Linked DNA regions of Diceros bicornis minor. The protein of the gene in region 3 interacts with the protein of the main gene of each other region in a pairwise test. Links are inferred from orthologs where the notes say so. Each region holds a gene or a part of one and is shown on either strand. Other genes may lie near its edges. The genes, in order: PLEKHB1, NRAS and RAP1GDS1.

Region 1 (7,172 bases), on a different chromosome or scaffold from region 3:
AGTCCCTGCGCTTGAGGAGCTCACAGGCTAGGGCTGGTATGGGGTGGGGGAGAGGTAAAGACAGTTATATTAGGGGGGGATCTGTGCTATAACAGGGGTTTGTATGAGGCAGTGGGGAACAGAGAAAGGAGCCTCTAACCCAGCTTGGTGCTACAGCAGGGTCTGGGGTGGGGTTAGAGGAAAAGTCCGAGAAGGCTCCTCACAAAAGGGGACATCTGCGCTAGTTCTCGAAGAATAAGTAGAAGTTTACCAAGCAGTCAGGAATGGGAAGGATATTTCAGGCAGAGGGAAGAGCATGGACAAAGGAGGGGAAGATAAAAAGGGCCTGGTTTTGGGGAGAGGGTTCACTGTGGCAGGCCCAACAAGCCCCTTCCCTCACCCCTGCCCCTGGACAAGGTGCAGGACAGACAAGGGCTTGGCCCAGGGCCACTCACTCTGTCTCCACAGCCAGCCGCCCCTCACCAGGGCCATTTCTTCAAAAGGACTTTCCAGGGCGGAGTCAGGCGGGACCTGTCAGAGGAGCCACAGGACACACAGGCCTCATCAGCAGCTCCAGAGCAGCTCCCCAGAGAGAAGACAAGCCCCAGCCTCCTTGGGGGAGCCACCACGGAAACGTTTAAGGGAGTGTTGGTAGACAAACAAGGGCAAGCCTGCCTGTCTCCTCCCCATTCTCTGCTGCAGGCAGATAATGGGAGCACTGTCCTGGCGGGGCCAGCAGGGCAGCCACCCATTGTGCTCGAGTGGGGGCGGGGAGGTGAGGAGCCTGGATTCCAATCTCAGCTCCATAACCTTAGCCAAGTCCCTTCTCCCTGGCCTCCATTTCTAGATCTGTAAAAGTGTGTCTGTGAGGCAGGCAGAGGCTGGAGTGAGGCACTCTTAAAATGTTAGAAACCCTGGAACTTTGAAATGCTGGCAGCACAGAATATTAGAATCATGGCAGTGAATGAGGGACTTTCATGATAAGAAAAAGCTCCCTCACATTTCAACTCCACCTGAGCCATTTACGAAGTGCATAAAATAATAGTTCAACAGCAGCTATAACTGATTACGCACTATGTGCCAGGTACACCTCTCAGAGCTTTCATCTAGTATCTCACGGAAGCCTCACAACAATCCTTGTTATTTTTCCGGGGAAACTGGGGCCTGGAGAGGTCCTGTCACTTGCGCAGATCCGCTTGATTAGTCAGTGGTGGGGCCCGGATTCACACCCAGCAGTCCTGGCTTCTAACCATTATGCCAGAAGGAGCCTTCAAAACTCCCGATACCCAGGTCATACCCCATAACAATTAAATCAGAATGTCGGGGGGCGGGAGGCAAGCACCGAAAGTCTTTAAAGATCTCCAGGTGATTCCAATGTGCAGCAAAGTTTAGGAACCACTGACATACTATACTATCTCACCTTGCCCCCACTGTCATCCAGTTAGATGGGTAGGATCTTTACTCCTATTTTACAGATGGACAAATTGAGGCACAGCAAATGACTTGTCCAACTAGGTGATGCAGCTTGGATTGGAATCTAGATGCCCTCTGTTCCTGAGGACGATTTTCTTGCGCGTAGGTGCCTCTGCCCCTCCCCCACCTGCTCACACCTTTTGCTGCGTAGCAAGGGCTGGCACTCCAGGGCTGGAAGGCCCATCCTTGTCCCTGCTTCTCCTGCCGCTCCCTCCCCTCTGCAAGCCCTGACACAGGTCAGATAAGAGGACCAGGTCCCTCTCCAGCGCCCCCCTTGATGCACCCACCTGTCTACACCTGTTGCGGATGCTGCTGCCAAAACGCCGGCTACTTGATGCTGCTGCCACCCAACCCACTGCGCCTGCGCTTTGTGCGCCCCAGAGCGCCTGGGACATTTCACTCCCCAGGCTGCGCCCTGGGCCCCGCCCTCCGGCCCCGCCCCACCCCCAGGGAGGGGGCGGGGCGTGGAGCGATGTGCTGGCACGAGGCATGCTGGGACTTGTAGTCTGCAGCCCTAGAACTGGGCAATGGGTAGCCTTTCTTGGGTGGTAGCCCTGTGCTGACCAGGAGGACAGGTGGGAGGCTGCACCTGCGATTTCATTTTGCTCTGACATTTGTTCACTCATTTATCTTGAAATACTTTTTCCTAAGAATCTTGAACCCATTTTCTAGAAAAAAGTATGGTTGCAAGGAGAAGCCAGGCTCCTAGTTTTGCCATGTTTTCTCAATACAGTACTCAGTTTGTGCCTGGCACTGCACTGGGCGCTAGTGGAGGGCACAAAGAAGCATCTGACAAGGCCCTTTCTCCTTCCTTCCCCAGCTTCCAGTCTGGTGGGGGAGACGAAACGTAAACACAATTAGAGCACAAAGTATGATTCAACAACAGGAGAGAAGAATCTAACTTTGCCCAAGAGGTTCAGGAAGGTCTCCAGAGGAGACTTAAAGGGGTCTTGAAGGATGAGTAGGAGTTTCTCACGGGAAACCTAAGAGACTTATAAGAGCACTGGTTAGGAAGTTCAAATGAGTGTGCTGTATTTCAGTGTGTTTGGCAAGTAGAGTGCAGGTGGGGAGGGCAAGGGATGTGTCACTTGATGAAGCTGCAGGGGTTGCAAGGATATAATATGAAGGCCTTGGATGACAGGCTCAAGAGCTTGGACATTATGTCCTAGTGACTGGAGCTTGCGGGGAGGGGAGGGTTCAAGATGAGGAGTTAGGTGGTCAGATTTGTGAATTGGAAAGGTCCCTCTAGGGCATAATGGAAAATGGATCGCAGAGTGCCCAACTGGAGAAAGAAGACCGTTTCTGTATCTACCACCTTGGTCTGCCCCTCCAGGATCATTTCCTTGAATAGCTCAGCCCCACAAACCCCCACCTACAGCAGACCCAGGACTGTCATTCAGATAACAGGGCCTGTCAGGGCCTGAAAGACTCCTGGTCCCATCCCCTATTTGAGAGGGGCACCCACCCTGCCCTGGGCCCTTCCTCCTGTCCCAAACACCTCTTGCTTACCGGAGTTGCAGGGCTCATGGTTCTTGGGCGGCCAAGGCAGCATTTCCTAGAAGGTTCCTGAAGGGGGGCATTTCCCTGAGCGCCTTAGAGATAAGGGGATCAGGAAGGTCCTACCAAGTGGGAACCGGAAGTGGGGGGCACATAGAACTTTAAAAAAGTCATCCTCTCTCTCCAGTCACTCCCCAACCTCCCCGACTGATGTCTGCCTCGGACCTTCAGTTCACTGGATAACAACAAGTCATCCGTGATTCGGAGGTGGTTTTGGCCTAGCACTGCTAAGATGCCAGGGCCGCGGACTGGCCAGTCCTCCTCCCTCGGTCGAGGGCGGGGCTAAATCTGCTTTCTCCCGCCGGGCGGGACAGTGCCATCACCCCAGTCCGGGCTGCGCAGCCTGGCTCTTTAAGCTTCCCTCTCTCGCTCCTGGGTTTCTGTAATCCTGACCTCTGAGCCACCCCGGCGCTTCAACCTTTCGTGCAGTGCGTGCCTTGCTAGGGGATTCGCCACGGCCGATCCTATTAGCCACTGAGCTCATCCCCTCCGTGCAGCCCCAGGAAGCAGCTCTCCAAAACTAAGCTGTCTCCAACTCTATATCGTCTGTCTCTGGAACGTCCCACCCCTACCTTCTCCAGGCTAAATTTTCCGCCCCCACAGCAGAAAGGAGGAGGGAGGGAGGGGTGAGTGGAGCTGGCTTCAGGGAATCTGGATCCTGCCCTCTCCCTAGCTCTCCCCTGCTCCCCTCCGTGAACAACTGTTTGGCGTCCTTCATAGAGGGGTGGGGTGGGGAAGCAGTGCAGACTCCTAGATTACATTCTCTGGATTTAGCAACCAGATGAAAAAGGAAGATTCTCCAGTGGCAGTGTGGAATTTAGGGGGAAAATCCACCCTCCTCCCCCACCAAAGAGAGGGCCCTATGACAAGAAAAAGAGAAAAGGATGCTGGGAAACCACGGATGCAACTATAGAATCTAAAGGCAGCCCGACCTGGTTTATGTCTCTAAAATGTTTCTCGATGACCCTCTTTGGGAAGCTGCTGAAGGAAGTAGACTCTGCCCAGGAAAAAGATCACACACATGTCACGTTTTGCATATAATTCCTGGGAGTTCATAGACCCCTGAAGCCATAATGATTACCATTGAGAGCTGTGTTTTTAATCTCCAGTGCTGTGTAGACCAGTGGATAGAGTATGGATTAACAAGTGAGAGGTGCTGAGAGCATAGCAGGAATCCAGCTCCTGCAGTCCTGGCCTTGAGAGACTTTGTTTGTTTAATCAATTAAAATTTACTGAGATCAACAAAAATCATTGGCAGAGAGAAAAGTATGTTGCTATTTCAAATGTCCCTGGTGGATGAACAGCTCTCGGATAATACATTGTTTAGAGAATAGTGGACTGGTTTATCAAATTAAAATTCACTACTTATATTTTCTAAAGAGTATAATATAGTGAGAATAATTTGTACTATCTCTAATTACTAAAAAATCCAGAAATTTATGTCAAGATGCAATTTGAGCCGAAGTAAAATCAAGTAAAAATTTTTAAGTAATTTTAGTGAGATATAATTTATATACTATAAAATTCACTTTTTTGTGTGTGTGTGAGGAAGATCAGCCCTGAGCTAACATCCATGCCAATCCTCCTCTTTTTGCTGAGGAAGACCGGCTCTGAGCTAATATCTATTGCCAATCCTCCTCTTTATTTTTTTTTTTCCTTTTTCTCCCCAAAGCCCCAGTAGAAAGTTGTATGTCATAGTTGCACATTCTTCTAGTTGCTGTATGTGGGACGCGGCCTCAGCATGGCCAGACAAGCAGTGCGTTGATGCGTGCCCGGGATCCAAACCTGGGCTGCCAGTAGCGGAGCACACGCACTTAACCGCTAAGCCACGGGCCGGCCCTAAAGTTCTCTCTTTTAACGTGTACAGTTCAGTGTTCTAATATATTTACAAGTTGTACAACCATCATTACTATTTAATTTCAGAACATTTTCATCACCCCTAAAATAAACTCTATACTTTTTAGCAGTCACTCTTAATCCCCTTTCCCCTCAGCCCCTGGCAACCACAAATCTACTTCATCTGTATAGATTTGCCTATTCTGGACATTTCATGTAAGTGGAATCATGTAGTATGTGGCCTTTTGTAACTGGCTTCTTCCACTTAACGTTTTCAAGGCTCACCCATGTTGTAGCATGTATCAGAACTTTATTTTTTATTGACAAATAATATTCCATTGTGTGGAATTTCTTATTTACCCATTCATCAGCTGATGGACATTTGAGTGGTTTCCACTTTTCAGCTATTATAATAATGCTGCTTAAAACATTTGTTTACATGTTTTTGTGGGGACATATGTTTTCATTTGTCTTGAGTGTGATATTGTTGAGTCATACGGTAACCCGATGTTTAACATTTTGAGGAACTGTCAAACTACTTTCCAAAGTGGCTGCACCATTTTACAATCCCACCAGCAACCTATAAGAGTGCCAGTTTTTCCACATCCTCGCCAGCCCTTGTTATTGTCTGTTTTTTGATTATAGCCATCCTAGTAGGTGAGAAGTGTTATCTCATTGTGGTTTTTTTGTGTGTGTGAGGAAGACCAGACCTGAGCTAACATCTGATCCCAATCCTCTTTTTTTTGCTGAGGAAGACTGGCCCTGGGCTAACATCTGTGCTGATCTTCCTCTGCTTTATATGGGATGCCACCACAGCATGGTTTGACAAGCGGTGCATCAGTGCGCGCCTGGGATCCGAACCTTCAAACTTCAGGCCGCTGAAGCAGAGCATGAGCACTTAACCACTGTGCCACTGTGCCGGCCCCAACTCATTGTGGGTTTTATGTGTGTGTGTGTGTGTGTGTGAGGAAGATCAGCCCTGAGCTAACATCCATGCTAATCCTCCTCTTTTTTGCTGAGGAAGACCGGCTCTGAGCTAACATCTATTGCCAATCTTCCTCCTTTTTTTTTTCCCCCAAAGTCCCAGTAGATAGTTGTATGTCATAGTTGCACGTGCTTCTAGTTGCTGTATGTGGGACACGGCCTCAGCATGGCAGGAGAAGCGGTGCGTCGGTGCACGCCTGGGATCTGAACCCCTGGCTGCCAGTAGCGGAGCGTGCGCACTTAACTGCTAAGCCACGGGGCCAGCCCACATTGTGGTTTTGATTTGCATTTCCCTAATGACCAATGATGTTGAGCATCTTTTCACGTGCTTATTAGCCATTTGTAGATCTTCTTTGGAGAAATGTTTATTCTAATCTTTTGTCCACTTTTTAGTTGGGTTTTTGATTTTTTAATTGTTGAGTTGTAAAAAGTTTTTTAAAATAGAAAAAATAGATAATTAAAAAATAATTTTGGGGGCTGGCCCAGTGGCGCAAGCGGTTAAGTGCGAGCGCTCTGCTGCGGAGGCCCGGGGTTTGCCAGTTCGGATCCCGGGCGCACACCGAAGCATCGCTTGTCAAGCCATGCTATGGCGGCGTCCCATATAAAGTAGAGGAAGATGGGCTCAGAATGTTAGCCCAGGGCCAGTCTTCCTTGGCAAAAAGAGGAGGATTGGCATGGATGTTAGCTCAGGGCTGGTCCTCCTCACAAAAAAGTAATAATAATTTGGGGGGCTGGCCCTGTGGCAGAGTAGTTAAGTTTGTCCCACTCTGCTTCAGTGGTCTGGGTTCACAGGTTAGGATCCTGGACGCAGACCTACACCACTTGTCAGCCATGCTGTGGCTGCAACCCACATACAAAATAGAGAAAGATTGGCACAGATGTTAGCTCAGGGCGAATCTTCCTTAACAACAACAAGAAATAACAATAACAGTTTTGAAGAAAAAATAAATGAAATGATGGGCCGGCCCCATGGCTTAGCGGTTAAGTGCACGTGCTGCGCTATTGGTGGCCCGGGTTCGCATCCCGGGATCGCACCGACACACCACTTGTCCGGCCATGCTGAGGCTGCGTCCCACATACAGCAACTAGAAGGATGTGCAATTATGATGTACAACTATCTACTGGGGCTTTGGGGAAAAAAAAGGAGGAGTGGCAATAGATGTTAGCTCAGAGCCGGTCTTCCTCAGCAAAAAGAGGAGGATTAGCATGGATGTTAGCTCAGGGCTGATATTCCTCACAAAAAAGCAAAAAACAAAAAAAATAAAATAAAATAAATAATAAATGAAATGATGTAAGGTCACTGCAGTGTTTCAGGGTTTTGAGTAGAAAGCTCATGTGGAGGC
Region 2 (7,561 bases), on a different chromosome or scaffold from region 3:
CCCCTGCGTAGGGCCACAGTGGAGTGTGTGAAAGATCAGGTAAGTGGTGGTATCTCTGGGTCTGAGTTTGATCCTTTTATGAATTGGTAACCAAAACCTTGAAATTTTTTCAGCCAAGGGGAACCATCAGCATTCATTTGGGGGGGGGGGGTGGTGAGAGAGAGAGCAAGAGAGGAAGATTAGCCCTGAGCTAACATCTGTTGCCAATCCTCCTCTTTTTGCTCAGGAAGATTGGCCCTGGGCTAACATCCGTGCCCATCTTCCTCTACTTTATATGTGAGACACCTGCCACAGCATGGCTTGATAAGCAGTACATAGGTCCATGCCCGAGATCCATACCTGTGAACCCCAGGCTGGCCCCAACATTCATTTGATTTTTACTTCTACTTTACCCCTTTTTCAGTGATTTGAGGTAGCTTATAAAAATATGAAGAAAACCACATGAAAAGAAAAAAATGGTGATACTAGCAAGAAGAAAATAAGAGGGGTATTAATAACATTGTGTGATGAGGAAAATAAATTTGGAGTGAAAGTTGCAGAATAGAAAAACTATAAAGTTTTGTACACTTTAGCTCAGAGCTTGCAGATCACAGAAGGAAAGAAACCATGTGTAGAAGTGTTCATAAAATAAGCTTAGGCAAACAAAACTATTCCTGGTACTGAGATCTCAAGGAAATCCCTGTGAGTGCTCAAAGAGGACGTTTTTCAGTATCAGTATGGTGAAGATAACATTTTGTATGGCTGTTTCTTATGATGCCATAACCCAGCTTAATAATTCTAGAAGGAATCAAAACACTACATATGTTGTTCAAGTAACAGCTCCCTAATAATTTTGCTTGATTCAAAAACTTAGGAGCCAGCTCTGTGGCATAGTGGTTAAGTTCAACGTGCTTTGCTTCAGTGGCCCGGGTTCAGATCCCAGGCGCAGACCTACACCACTTGTCAGCCATGCTGTGGCCGCAACACACATATAAAGTAGAAGACGACTGGCACAGGTGTTAGTTCAGGGCCGGTCTTCCTCAAGCAAAAAAAAAGAGGAAGATTGGCAACAGATGTTAGCTCAGGGTGAAATGTTAGCTCAGGGTGAATCTTCCTCAGAGAAAAAAACATATGGTTCATATGATATATGAAGCCACAAGGCAACCTTTCTTTGTTTCAGTCAGGCAATAATAGAGTGAATGGCAGTAATTTCAAAGATATGTTTCTTTCCTGACAAGTTTTGCAGACCCATACGCTATTAAATTATAGCACAGACAGCTGAACTAGAGTATCAGCATTAATACGATGTTTTATAAATCTCGTTAGGGTCAGGCATGGTGCTTCATTCAGAGTGAGGTGCTTTTCCCCATTGTGGTATGCCCTTTTTTTAGCTACTGTCTTTTTTCCCTCTCCCCCCAGTTTGGCTTCATTAACTACGAAGTAGGAGATAGCAAGAAGCTCTTTTTCCATGTGAAAGAAGTTCAGGATGGCATTGAGCTACAGGCAGGAGATGAGGTGGAATTCTCAGTGATTCTTAATCAGCGCACTGGCAAATGCAGTGCTTGTAATGTTTGGCGAGTCTGGTAAGTTTTTGTCGTTGTTGGATTAGTAACCTCCCTGGACAGTCTCTTTAACTTCTGTAATTTCTGCTTTATCACATTTCGTCACTTTTTCATCACTGCTGCTTTCATCCTCTTCTGCCACTTTTTGGTTATTTCTTGATACTTCTTATGTCTTTTTTAGCTCTAGTCTTTTTTTTTTTGTGAGGAAGATCAGCCCTGAGCTAATATCCATTGCCAATCCTCCTCTTTTTTTTTTTTTTTTTTTTTTTTCTTTGCTGAGGAAGACTGACCCTGGGCTAACATCCATGCCCATCTTCCTCTACTTTATATGGGACGCCGTCACAGCATGGCTTGACAAGCGATGCATCGGTGTGCATCCGGCATCCGAACCTGCGAACCCTGAGCAGCCAAAGCAGAGCGCATGCACTTAACTGCTTGCGCCACTGGGCCGGCCCCTTTAGCTCTAGTCTTTATTGTCTAAACTTTTTAGTCTCATAAAATCTGGCCCAATGAAACATTGAGTACTTACTATATCGTAGGTCTTTTTATATAAAAGATTATGTAGTCCTTGTTCCTAAAGGATTCTGCTTAGCTCTTTTGCTTTCATTAAGCCATCTCTAGGTTATATGCTGCTAAAAATTCTGATTTTATAGTTTAGCAGTTTGACTCTGTGCTTGCGCTTTTTTTTAAGTCAATAACATTGTTACCATTAGAGGAACCAGGATATTTAACTTTTTCAAGGTTATTCACATGTGCTGCCTTGTGTCTTTGAAACTGGTCTTTTGTTGTTGCAGACCATTCTAGGGATGACCCTCACCCAACTGATTCTTCTAGCTCCTACACAGTAGTAAACCTTGACTTGGGAATAAAAACATAAACTTGTCTGTCCTGTCTTGCTAGCTTGCTGGCTAGATGAGGCAAGAGTCCCCCCTCATTAAAACTGAGTCATTTGAATAGTTAGGTAGAAAACACACTCCTCTCTAAGTACTTGCTTTCTTCTCACCTCTTGACTTTGTTACAGTGAGGGCCCCAAGACTGTTGCAGCTCCACGACCTGATAGGTTGGTCAATCGCTTGAAGAACATCACCTTGGATGATGCCAGTGCTCCTCGCCTAATGGTTCTTCGTCAGCCAAGGGGACCAGATAACTCAATGGTATGAGGTCATGCAAGGTTGTGGGTGGGGTAGCAACTGACAGACCAACATACTACTTGATGTCCTATTTCGGCATAGCTCAGAGGGCTTAATGAAGCAAGGAGCTTCAGTATTGCTTCTAGCTAGTTAGGACTCCCTCCATATTGATTGAGCCCGTAACATAAATGGTTGCTCACAATAAAAGGCACATTTCTTGGCTTTCCTGATACTTTGAACATATAGTTCAGGTAAAAGATCAGGAGGGCTTATTATAGATTTCCTCCTCGGGGAAAAAATTGGTGGTGATTACGATGATTAAAAGCAATGCTTTTGTAGTTCATTTTGAAATTGTGAATGTACTGTGATTGTCATGTACCCAGGTTATTAACTGCAATTTTATTTCTTCACAGGGATTTGGTGCAGAAAGAAAGATCCGTCAAGCTGGTGTCATTGACTAACCACATCCACAAAGCACATCATTAATCCACTATGATCAAGTTGGGGGGATTCTGGTGAAGGGTTCTGAATATCTCCCTCTTCATCCCTCCTAAAATCTGGAATACTTATTCTATTGAGCTATTACACCAGTTTTAACACCTTCCTCGTGTTATGTTTAAAAAAATAAATAAATTTAAGAAAACCATTTTAAAATTATGCACAGTTGCAGCCTGGAAAACTTAAGGTGGCGCCTTATATATCAATTTTAGGAGCTTTATTTGGTGCATTTAACGCAACTGGTAATTGCAAAATCCACTTTGCCTGTGTAAGTGAAAAATATAGACTGTTATCTTGTTGGCCCTGTGAAATTCTGCACTTCATATTTAGTATATACTCTACCTTCATTACTTCTGGCAAGATGTTCTGCCTTAGCACTCAGTTGCGTTCTTTTCCTTTCCTGTTCATTATGCTTTAATTCTGAGGACCATATGAGGGTAGAATATATTAAAAATTACAAAAATTTGTGTAGGCAAACCATTTCCTTAAGTTGATGGCCAAATGTTAAAATGTTATTTTTCATATCATTTATAATCTTGTCACAGTCCACTTAACGAAGTTTGGTTAGATTTCAGTGAAAATTATCTTCCAGAGTAGTTTTTTTTCCTAGGATGGGGGGGTAACTTGACTACAATTAGTATGTATGGTGCAGAATTTCATGCAAATAAGGTGTGCCAGCAGTGTGATAATTTAAACGTATTTAAACAAAAACAAAAAGACGAATGCACAAACTTGCTGCTGCTTAGATCACTGCAGCTTCTAGGACCCAGTTTCTTTTACTGATTTAAAAACAAAAAAATAAAATAAAAAAGTTGTGCCTGAAATGAATCTTGTTTTTTTTGTAAGTAGCCGCCTGGTTCCTGTGTCCTGTAAAATACAGACACTTGACCTTTGGTGTAGCTTCTGTTCAACTTTATATCACGGGAATGGATTGATTTCTTGGCCCTCATGTTGAATTGGCCACATACAGGGTCCCTGGCCAGTGGACTGAAGGCTTTGTCTAAGATGAAAAGGGTCAGCTCAGGGGATGTGGGGGAGGGCGCTTTTATCTTCCCCGTTGTCGTTTGAGGTTTTGATCTTCTCTGGGAAAGAGGCCATTTATCTTTGTAAACACGAAACATTTTTGCTTTCTCCAGTTTTCTGTTAATGGCGAAAGAATGGAAGCGAATAAAGTTTTACTGATTTTTGAGACACTAGCACCTAGCGCTTTCATTATTGCAACGTCCTGTGTGGGAGGGGAGGGTCTGGGTGCGGCCTGCCGCATGACTCCCGGGTTGGAAGCCCACGTGGCCGGGGCGGGGCCTCGGGCGTCCTGCGCGCCGACTGATTACGTAGCGGGCGGGGCCGGAAGTGCCGCTCCCTGGTGGGGGCTGTTCATGGCGGTTCCGGGGTCTCCAACATTTTTCCCGGCTGTGGTCCTAAATCCGTACGAAGCGGAGGCAGCGGAGCTTGAGGTAGGTCTCTGGCGTGTGTAGCATTCGGCTTTGGAGCATACAGGCGTCTCGTTATTGCCAGAAATCGAGCGGAATCTGCGAGCTGCAAACAAAGGCCCTGGGCGGGGGTCCTTCGTTTTGAGCCCTACGGGGAAGATGTTTAGAGATGGGCCGGGGAGTAGTAAGGGGGAGCGACCTGGAGGCCTCCTCCTAGAGCTGGGAAGACTTGCGGGAGGAATAGAAGGGGGGGTTTCCTTTACCTGAGGCTGAGGGCGGGGCCCAAGGACTGTTGAAACATAGACGAGGGTGGGGGTAGCTAGAAGACTATAATCCAGAATTCTGAGGCCCACAGTAACCTGCAAGTGCTTTTTGGCATTCCTGAATCATTTTGAGAACCAAGTGGCGGTGACGTGTATGGAACCGATACATTTCAAATTCTGGTTTTAGTTACTATTGATTATAGGGAAAGCTTTGAAGTACTGTAGATGTGGCTCGCCAGTTAACCCTAATTGATGCTTTCCGACAGGTTCTTGCTGGTGTGAAATGACTGAGTACAAACTGGTGGTGGTTGGAGCAGGTGGTGTTGGAAAAAGCGCACTGACAATCCAGCTAATCCAGAACCACTTTGTTGATGAATATGATCCCACCATAGAGGTGAGGCCCAGTGGTAGCCTGCTGACTCCACCTCTGCGGTTTTACCCTTACCCATACCCTTTTGCTGTTCTTTACCTAAAGGAGTAATCAGGAGAGAAAGTAAAAAGTGATTTTGGGTACTGCGTTGAGTAATACAATAAGTAAAGCTGGAATGTTTGTGGAGAAGAGTTCATTTTTATTAGCTGCTGAAGATTTTCTAAAAAGTTTACAATTTTTAACACTTATGTAAACTATTGCAAATTTAGTGTTGAACTCAGTTTCTTCATATATGACAACTCTGTTAAAAAGAAACACAGTCCATAGGTAGAGGGACTGTCTGAATAATAGCAGGATGGAAATAAAGGGTTCAGAGATCTGGGTATTCTGCAATTTTCATTTCTTAGCTAGTTGAAGCAGCTGAGAGTGTGGGTTGGTGTAGAAAGAGCGTGAGATTTTGAACCGCTTTGCCTAGGATTTCAGTCCCTGTTTGCAGTTTATTTAGTTATGTGATGTTGAGCAAATTACTTAATCTCTCTGAGCCTCATTTTCCTGATCTATTAAATTACCATAAATTTGTTCTGCCTACCACACACGGATATTGTGAAAAATCAAATAATATCTTTAAATTTTTTGTGAATGGTGAAGTGCTGCATAAATAGTATTTATTTAAAGATTATTTTGTTTTCATGGGAGTTTGTTATAGATTAGCTTCAATAAATGGCATCTAGTGTCCTTTAAATAAAAGGTTTTAAAAGGTTTTGTAATTTTATTCAGTTTAGAAATGTCTAACTCTAAAGATTATTTTCTTTTAATCTACACCCTGCTCTTCCTACCACCCAGCTACTGAGTGTTTAATTAATGCAAGCTAACTCTAATATAGCCATTATTAAAAAATTACTCATTAGTCCTGGGCAAAAATCTTTATTTTAGGCTTAACAGCTTTAGTGTTAATAGTTAGAAACTTTTAATATTTTTTGGAGTTTTATTTATTGAGAGGTAATTTACATACAGTAAAATACTTCGGTGATTTATTAAATTTATATACACTTAACGTAACCACCACTCAGATAAAAGTATAGACTATTTTTAATGCCCCAGAGAGTTCTCCCATGCCCCTTTCCAGTCAATAAACTCCCCCACCCTGTCAGGAAATAACCACTTCTCTGCCTTCTATTATCATAAATTCATTTGACTAAAACCTATCTTTATAATTTTAATTTTGCTCATTTCCTCGGAGCACTCATACACTTAACCATATTTCATGCCTCAAGGAAGTTCTGGCAATGTGAATTCTATGTTAATTTGAAAGTATGTTGCAAGTGAGTTACAGAGGAACTGATCAATAGGCTGGGAAATTAGGTTGAGTTTTGTTTCTAGAGCCAGATCTTGACTAAGTGTGATGAGGTTATTTTCTTTGAATTCCCAGAACATAAGTATTAAAATACAAGTAAAATTTTTGTCTTAGAGCCAGATTGAAAAAAATTTTTTATATGATCTATGCATGTCTGTCTTCCTGAGGAATTTAGTTATACCTATACCTTGTTTGGAACCTTTAGGAATTTGATTGAGGAATATTTCCCAAAGGTACAGTCTGTCATGATGAGAAAAATATTTTGGTATTATAACCTTGTCTGAAATAAAAAGTATTTGTGTATTTAGTCATAAACACAAATGACACTGTATCCAAAGCCAGATTATAATTAGTGGAGGTATGTTTAGAATTTTAAATGTACCATAAACAACTAAAACAGGACAAGTCCAGTTCATACCTTAGTAAAGTACAATGTGAACCTAATCTCTAGTCTAATTGCAGTAGAGCTGTCTTTTGAAGTACCACATATTTTTCACCTTTTCCAGGAACAGAGTGACCACATTTTCCTTTCTGCAGGCGTATAGGATTTGGGGCTTTTTTCCTAGGGTGACATTAAGTACTTTCTGTTTGTGATTATATATTCACAGTTTGAGGGACAAATCAGAGAGACAGAAATGGACTTGGTTAGGAGCTTATTTAATCTTGGCAATAGCATTGCATTCCCTGTGGTTTTTAATAAAAATGGAATCTCCCTCTCTCCCCACCACCTCACCGTCCACATCCTCAGGATTCTTACCGAAAACAGGTGGTTATAGATGGTGAAACCTGTCTGTTGGACATACTGGATACAGCTGGACAAGAGGAGTACAGTGCCATGAGAGACCAATACATGAGGACAGGCGAAGGCTTCCTCTGTGTATTTGCCATCAATAATAGCAAGTCATTTGCAGACATTAACCTCTACAGGTACTAGGAGCATTATTTTTTCTGAAAGGATGATCTTTAAGTGTGTTC
Region 3 (7,535 bases):
TCTATAATATATGTAAAAGTCTTTCATATCACTTATACTTTATTTCTATTATAGTTATCTGTGTGTGTCATATTGTTCCTATTAAGATTATAAGCAACTTGAAATATGAATGTCTTATTCATCTTTGTCCTCCCACAGTATATTGCACATGGTTGATATTCAATATTAAATATATGCTGAACTTATGGTAAAATATATACATAACATAATAGCCATGGTCCATAAGATTATACAGGAAGTTTCCTTCACTTTCTTTTTTTTTTTTGTGAGGAAGATCAGCCCTGAGCTAACATCCATGCTAATCCTCCTCTTTTTCTGAGGAAGACCGGCTCTGAGCTAACATCTATTGCCACTCCTCCTCCTTTTTTTTTCCCCCCAAAGCCCCAGTAGATAGTTGTATGTCATAGTTGCACATCCTTCTAGTTGCTGTGTGTGGGATGCGGCCTCAGCATGGCCGGAGAAGCGGTGCATCCGTGCGCACCCGGGATCCAAACCCGGGCCTGCCAGTATTGGAGCGTGCGCACTTAACCGCTAAGCCACGGGGCGGGCCCATCCTTCATTTTCTTATGGAGAAACATCACTGCCATGAGAATATCTTTTTAAAAAATCACCTTATTTATTTCTTGAAAAGACATTAAAAAGTGATTTTTTTCTCCTACCATTAATCAGTATACCCTTTATGTATATATGAATTGTTATAACTTCCTCGGCTCAGAACATTGCTTCAATTTTACATTATTGTATGTACCTACTGATCATACACTAAACCGCCTTACCACTGAAAACAGCAGTGTAGAAGGAAATGGCTCGCCTGGAGGCTGCCCCAAAACCCATATCTCTGAGACAACCCAAGTTTTTTTTTTTAGAGAGAAGAGCAATCATAATATAATTATACTTCTCTGTTCCTGCTCCTCCACACCTCCATTATAACTATCAACTCAAATGTTTGTTCAGAGCCCAACGTTCAGGTTCACAAGCTGAAAATAACAGGTTTTAGGTTCAACAATTAATTTACCAAAGATTTACTGAATCCCTACTATGTGGAAAGCACTGTGGGGAACACAAAAATTAATATGACATAATTTTCATCCTCTGGAACTCATGATTAAACACACAACACACACATAAACAACTCCATTATAAGACAGATTATGTAAGTGCTAAAAAGCTTCCAACAAGGTACAAACAGAGCCCTGTGAGGGGAGAGAGATTAATTTAATCCGAGTATCTGAGAAGCTTCAAATGAGAGATCAGTTTCTATTTGGCCTTTTTTTGAAATCAAGCAATAACATTCAAGATTTATTAGTTTTAAGTAAATAATTTCATTTGTTTTAAGTATTTTTATTCACTAGTATCACACAGAATTGGATTTTTTCCTACTGAAAAGGTACTGATTCAACATGTAAGTTAAAATTTTAGTTAAATAGATTTTTTTAGCTCACCTTGAAACATTGGAAATGTATTTTACAGGCCAAACCTGTGGCCTATAATTAGGAAGAAAATTTTTGGTTGTTCAAGGGAAAGATACAATGTGTCCAATAATTAATATTTATCCAAAATTCTACTCCTAGAGAAAAACTAGATACATGTAAATGGGCCACCCAATTTTTACAGAAATTTGTTCAGCATACCAATAGTACATCAAAAGGAAAAAAAATGAACAACTGAAAATAGAATTCAAGGCCCGGGATTCATTTTGTATACACACCACCTCCTCCTGCAACACTGGCCTCTTCTCAATACATGGCTAAAGGTTTGAATCAGAGCTTGAAGCATCTGCTTTTCAAGTAAGCTCCATCGACCCTATTTCTTGATTTAGATGCTTCCTTGAAGATTCTGAGTTGCCATGACCTAATCCTGGACGTGTTGAACACTGTATTGACAGATGAAAGGACCACACTCATCTCAAGCTTAAAATAACTTGCACAGAAGGGGTGGGAAAAGTCCGAGTTGACAGACGCTAACGGAACACATTCTAAAAAGAGGAATTTATGATGGACAAGGGGGGAAACAAACTGGGGAACATGTAGAAGTGTGGTTCAAATGCTATTATTTAAAAAAAACTTTTGGATTTTAATTACATTACAGAATTCATCAGATATTTTTGTACTTACTAAACTTAACAGTGAAGCAATATATTATGAAAAAATTTAGGATTAATTACGTGTAGTTTTATAGGACCTATTTGCTTTTAAATGTCTCATCCAAACCAATCTCTTGAGATTAACTATAAATACAAAGGAACTAAAATCAGATTATGTAGATTTGGGCAGCGGGAGCTGGGAAAGAGTACTAACACGTAAGTGCGGTACCATGGCAGAGGGTGCAGCCTCCTGCTACAGCACAGGCGAAGGAACCCAGGAAACCGGCTGAGCACGGGAATACCGCACGCCCCGGCCACCCGACGCTAACTCAACGGCCAGCGGCTCACGCATCCTTCCTCACGCTCCTCGTGGCCTCTGACAAGTCATCCTTTCAACCTATGAGGCTGTCCGCTCTCCCCCACCGAAAATTACTTCTGTGCAGGTTGTAACACCGCCTCACAAACTACTCGCTCACACGTGCCCGCCTCGGGACGCGCATCCCCACGACGCGCAAAGGTGGAGGTGGGCAGTTCCGTGAAGCGGTCTGCCCGCGGGCGGCCCCCGGAGCGGCGCGGCGGGGCGGCGGGAGCCCGCGAGGCCGGCTGGCGGGGCCGGCACCGGCTTGCAGGAAGAATGGAGGAGGGGAGGAGGCGGCGCGGAGCCCGCGGCCCGACCGCACCCCGCGCCCGCGACCGGGCGTGCGCCCCGCGTGCGCCCACTCTCCCCGAGGAAGGGCCGCGTCTCGCACCCGAGGATTTGAGAAATCCGGCAACTTTGCGCGAGGAATGCCTCCCACCCTGCAACACACCGAGAGAGAGAAAAATGTCAGGCGATGACGGGGGAGGAAGGATGACTTACCCATGTTCCTCCCAGACGGTGAGGAGCCGGGGCGAGGCGAAGGTCTCCGGCGCGGGCGGCGCGGCGCTGCGTCCTCCCTCCACCTCCGTCTCTCTCGCAGCCAGGGAAGGACCCGCGGGGGGCGGCTGCCGGGGAGGAGCAGCTGCTGCTGCTGCTGCTGCTGCTGCTGCTGCAGGCGGCGCGGCCGCGGCGGGGACGAGCGGCGGGGGGCGGGGCGGGGCGGGGCGGGCAGGCGGGCGCGGCCTGCGGCGGGCGCGGCTCGGAGCCGGCGGGCGGCGGAGGTGCCGAGGCGGCCTGAGGAGCGCCCGCCCGACGCGCGCCCCGAACGCCCCGCCCACCCCACCGAGCATGCTCAGTGCCTCGCTCCCCGTGACCGGCGAATCTGAGCGTGCGAGTGGGCGTGCAGCCGCCGCGGAGGAGGTTGATGGCGACCGCCTGAGGGCCTGAAGGTGGGCCCTGAGGAGGCACGAGCCGGGGATCCTGAGCCCGGACTGCTCCCATCCGGCTCGCCCCAGGCGTGCTACCCCGACCCCGCCAACCCATACCCGGAAAAGGGGCCGTGTTCATTATGGGACAACCCGCTGCACAGGCGGGAATCTCCCAGAGGAGCCGCGCACCGCCTCAGCCCGGGGAGGTGGGGAAGCAGAGTGGCCGTCCTGACACGAAGCGGGAACGACGGAGGCCAGAGGCCAGCGCCTCGTGGAGATGGATGCCCAGGGACGCCGGTTCTCAGAGCAGCCCGTGGCCCGCCGGGCACTGAGCAGCGAGGTGGCCGCTGGGAGGGCGCGTCATGTCAGCTGGCGGGTCGGTGCACAGTTCAGGCTGTCCTGGCAGTGGCCAGTTTAGAAACAGAGGTCCGGCAGCCGGGAAGAGCGACTGCCCCAGGGTCTCCTCGGGGAGTGTCTCGTTCCCCGCCCAGAGGGGCGCGGCCTTCCGTTCCCTGAGGACGCCGGACAAGCCTCTGCGCAAGGGTGCCCTCGGCCTCCGCCTCCACCCTGCCGGGAGGTGCCACCCCGCCCGCTCCCTTTAACGCGGCAGGAAATACAAGTCCGGCCCTGCCCCGCGCGGGGAAACCGGGGCAGGGCGCTCCCCGTCCAGGGCGCCGTCCCGACCGGGCATGCGCGCGTGGGGTTGGTGTTACCGGTCCTCTGCCCGGGGGAGGGGCTGGGGGCAGCCTGCCGTCTCTTAGCGTCCTGGCCTTGCCCTGACCTCGGGACCTCGGTCGTTGGGGTGAGGACTCAGGTCGCTCTCCCGCAGCGACCGCAGTCCTGCGGGGGCCAGGGCCGCAGTCAGCAGCGCAGCCTGTGGGGGTGGCGAGGGGTGTAGAAGAGCTGAATCAGGTTTCTTTCCCTTTCAACTTTTACTTTCAAACCAAGGTTAAGAAAAGGCGCTTTTATCCCTCCCTTCGTCCGTGGCCCCTTCTTATAGTCAGATTAGTTTCCTTTTGTATGACTGATGCTAGAAGCACACAAGTCAGAATGGGCCTTGTTTGTTAAGCAGAGAGCAGATTTTATGCGACTTTTCTAAAACAAATGAAACAAAATAATTAAAAAAAGATTTGGTGAAACAAAAGACAAACTACAGAAGTAAAAGCTATTAGACTTTTATGATGCGCAAGACAGTCACCTCGCTCTTCTACTACTCTCCTTCCTTCTGTGATATAAGGATGCTCTTCCTTGCCTCAAAACCTGTCACAGCGGAATTACTTTCCTGGAGCTGCTGTAACAAAGTACCACAAACTGGGTGGTTTAGAACAACAGAAACGGCTGGTCTCACAGTTCTAGAGGCCAGAAGTCTGGAATCAAAGTGTTGGCAGGGCCGTGCTCCCTCTGTAGGCACGAAGGAAGGATCCCTTCCAGGCCTCCCCTAGCTTCTGGTAGGTCCTTGGCTTGTGGCAGCGTAACTCCAACCTCACGTCTGTTCAAATTTTCCTTTTTTATAAGGACACCAGTAAGATTAGGGCCCCACATACTCTGGTATGACCTCATTAACTAATTACATCTGCAGTAACCCTACTCCAAATAAGGTCACATTCTGAGATACTGGGGTTTAGACTTCAACATATGAATTTGCAGGGGACATGCTTCAATCTGTAGTATACCAACGCAAGCTACACACACACACCCACACGCACACCCCTAACATGTTCCACGTTCATTTTTGACCTCTCCAGAAGACCACCCTGGGGCCTTTCTATTGCTGCTCCTCGTGTTTTGTCCCTTTTTCTCTTTCCTTAACCTTCATTAATCTCAGATTCTCAAGTTCACTTGCTTCACTTTTCCTGCTACTTCCTTTTCTAATTATATATTACAGTAACTTTTCTAATTATATATTACAGTAACTTCTAAGAGCATCTTCTATCCTTCATTTGGGTGTGTGAATTGAAACCGGCAAAAGCAGCTGAAGCAGCTTTGTGACTTTCCACATGACACTAGTTTAAGTGCCTTTTTTGCTCTGATTGAATCCATAAACCATCCTCTCAACCTTCCTGCCAATTAAAACCACAGGACTGTTCAGGAGTGCAGCGTACAGTGAGTCCCCATGCACTGGTGTGCAACGGTAGTGAGACCCAGTACCAGCTGCTACATGCAGAAGTGGACCCATGTAACACCTACCCCTTTCATGCACAACACTAGTTCCCCTCCCCTCCCCTTTCTCCTATTATAGGAATATAACATTTCCTTACATCTTTACTCTTTTTTCTTTCTTCATCTTTTATTTAAAAGTTACCTGCATGAGGCCTTCCCTAGCCATTTTATCTAACATTTCGACACTCCCACTCCCCATCCCCAGTTCCCTACTTTGTTTCCTTAGCACTTATCACTAAGATAATATATATTTTGCTTATTGGATGTCACCCCCATTTAAATTTAAACTCCCCAAGGGCAGGGATTTTGTCTGCCTTATTTGCTGTTATATCCCCAGGACCAGAACAGTGCTAGCATGTAGCAAGTGCTCAATAAAAATTTGTGTCAATGAAAGTCTTTTCATCCTTGCAGAGTTTTTATCCTGAAAGAGAGCAAGAATGTTGTTAATATTCTTTTTATAAACTCTAGCACCTCAAGTAAAATTAGTTGCTCAATAAATATTTATAATGATGACGATGACAGCTGCTATCTGTGTTGTTTCTATCTTAAACTATGAGTCCCCTACTGGGTGGACACTAGACTTGGTACTAGTTTATTCACTCAGTCAGTCAAGGCAGACTTACTGAGCGCCTACTGTGTATCAGGCACTATGATAGGCACTAGGGATAAAGAACAAACTATGGCCCCTGCCCTCAAAAAACTTTGGGGGGGTTGCCCAGTGGTGTAGAGGTTGGGTTCCCACGTTCCGCTTCAGCAACCCGGGATTCCCCAATTCAGATCCTGGGCATGGACCTGCTCACTGCTTATCAAGCCATGCTGAGACAGTGTCCCACATAGAGGAACCAGAAGGACCTACAACTAGGATATACAATTAATGTACTGGGGCTTTGGGGAGAAAAAAGAAGAGGAATATTGGCAATAGATGTTAGCTTGGAGCCAAACTTCCTCAAAAAAAAAAAAAAAGTATTAGAAAAATTGCTTTGATGATGCTTCTAGTCATTGATCACATAAATAGACTAGAAAATATTCACCTGATGTCAAAAGAGTTTTCCAGAAATAAATCTAGTGCCTGTGCTCCGTGTTAGGCAATGGTCAGGACCTGATTAGGCCTGCTACAAAATAAAGGAGGAAATTCTGGCCCAGTGCACATGTTTTCAAATTCTATCTAGAAAATATATTTGTAAAGTATCACAGATTTATTTGAATAACAAGTTACTGTTGAAAATTGGTTTATGATTAGCCAAATAGCTATGGTAGGGATAGGGGGGCAAGTATCAAGGAAAATGTTTATTAGAAAGAATGAGAAACACTACATTTTTGGCAAGGTTTATAACATAACTTACCTCATTGATGCGTGTAACTTTAAAGAGGTTAGAAGGTGATTTAAATTCTTTAAAGGAAATATATTGGGAGGGGCAGAGCAAGAGGAAGTAGAAAGAGAACAGAGAGAATGTTCTTTAAAAGAATAATAGGGAACTGATTGCCTCTTCTTCACCATGGTGTTCTGAATATCATTTAAGGGAATCTCAATGGGGTAGTTAACTGAACTTTGCAGCAATAAAAAATGATTTGGCAGTGGACAGTGTTCTCTAAAGTCTTTATTTTAAAAGGTCTCAGTGAGGTTAGGCTAGTCTAGGTTGAACAACCAAAATGTCTTAACCTCTAGCTTGCTGTAACACCATCCATCTCCCCCATTTACTTACCATATTAACCATTTTCTAAATCTTATGAAATCTAAGTTTTCTTTTTTCATTGTCTGTCACCTCAAACGGATTAATGTCTACATATTGCAAACAACATTTTTTAGATGGTACAAAACATTTCGAAATCAGTTGAGTACTTCTCAAGCATCTCTTCTGAGCTCAGCACTGTGGTAGGTGCTACAAGACATAGGTATAAGTACCTATCAGGCAAAACAAGAGTAGGCCCAGTCTATTTTTAAAGTCTCTCCCTAAAAAAGTCTCCTAAGTCTATGAGTCCTAACATTTAAAGAAAGTTAGACGAA

Evidence for each region.
Region 1: the proteins of RAP1GDS1 (region 3) and PLEKHB1 interact in binary tests that used the Homo sapiens proteins (3 or more experiments, as listed by UniProt). The two-hybrid records come from large-scale screens. The link is inferred for Diceros bicornis minor from reciprocal best matches to the Homo sapiens genes RAP1GDS1 and PLEKHB1.
Region 2: the proteins of RAP1GDS1 (region 3) and NRAS interact in binary tests that used the Homo sapiens proteins (3 or more experiments, as listed by UniProt). The link is inferred for Diceros bicornis minor from reciprocal best matches to the Homo sapiens genes RAP1GDS1 and NRAS.

The regions. Positions count from the first base shown.
Region 1 is NC_080746.1:57,229,310-57,236,481, forward strand, and holds the start of PLEKHB1 (pleckstrin homology domain-containing family B member 1), read right to left. Parts: upstream 3,014-7,172; 5' UTR 2,980-3,013; coding exon 2,962-2,979; intron 1,816-2,961; exon of another isoform or gene 1,740-1,815; intron 511-1,739; coding exon 435-510; intron 1-434.
Region 2 is NC_080743.1:47,359,871-47,367,431, reverse strand, and holds the start of NRAS (GTPase NRas), read left to right. Parts: upstream 1-4,518; 5' UTR 4,519-4,623; intron 4,624-5,128; 5' UTR 5,129-5,145; coding exon 5,146-5,256; intron 5,257-7,334; coding exon 7,335-7,513; intron 7,514-7,561. Other genes in the region: CSDE1 (cold shock domain-containing protein E1), read left to right, coding at 1-39, 1,399-1,562, 2,563-2,695, 3,085-3,132. UniProt on the Homo sapiens protein: Ras proteins bind GDP/GTP and possess intrinsic GTPase activity.
Region 3 is NC_080747.1:81,218,513-81,226,047, reverse strand, and holds the start of RAP1GDS1 (rap1 GTPase-GDP dissociation stimulator 1), read right to left. Parts: upstream 3,001-7,535; 5' UTR 2,947-3,000; coding exon 2,943-2,946; intron 1-2,942. UniProt on the Homo sapiens protein: Acts as a GEF (guanine nucleotide exchange factor) for the Rho family of small GTP-binding proteins (G proteins) that stimulates the dissociation of GDP to enable subsequent binding of GTP.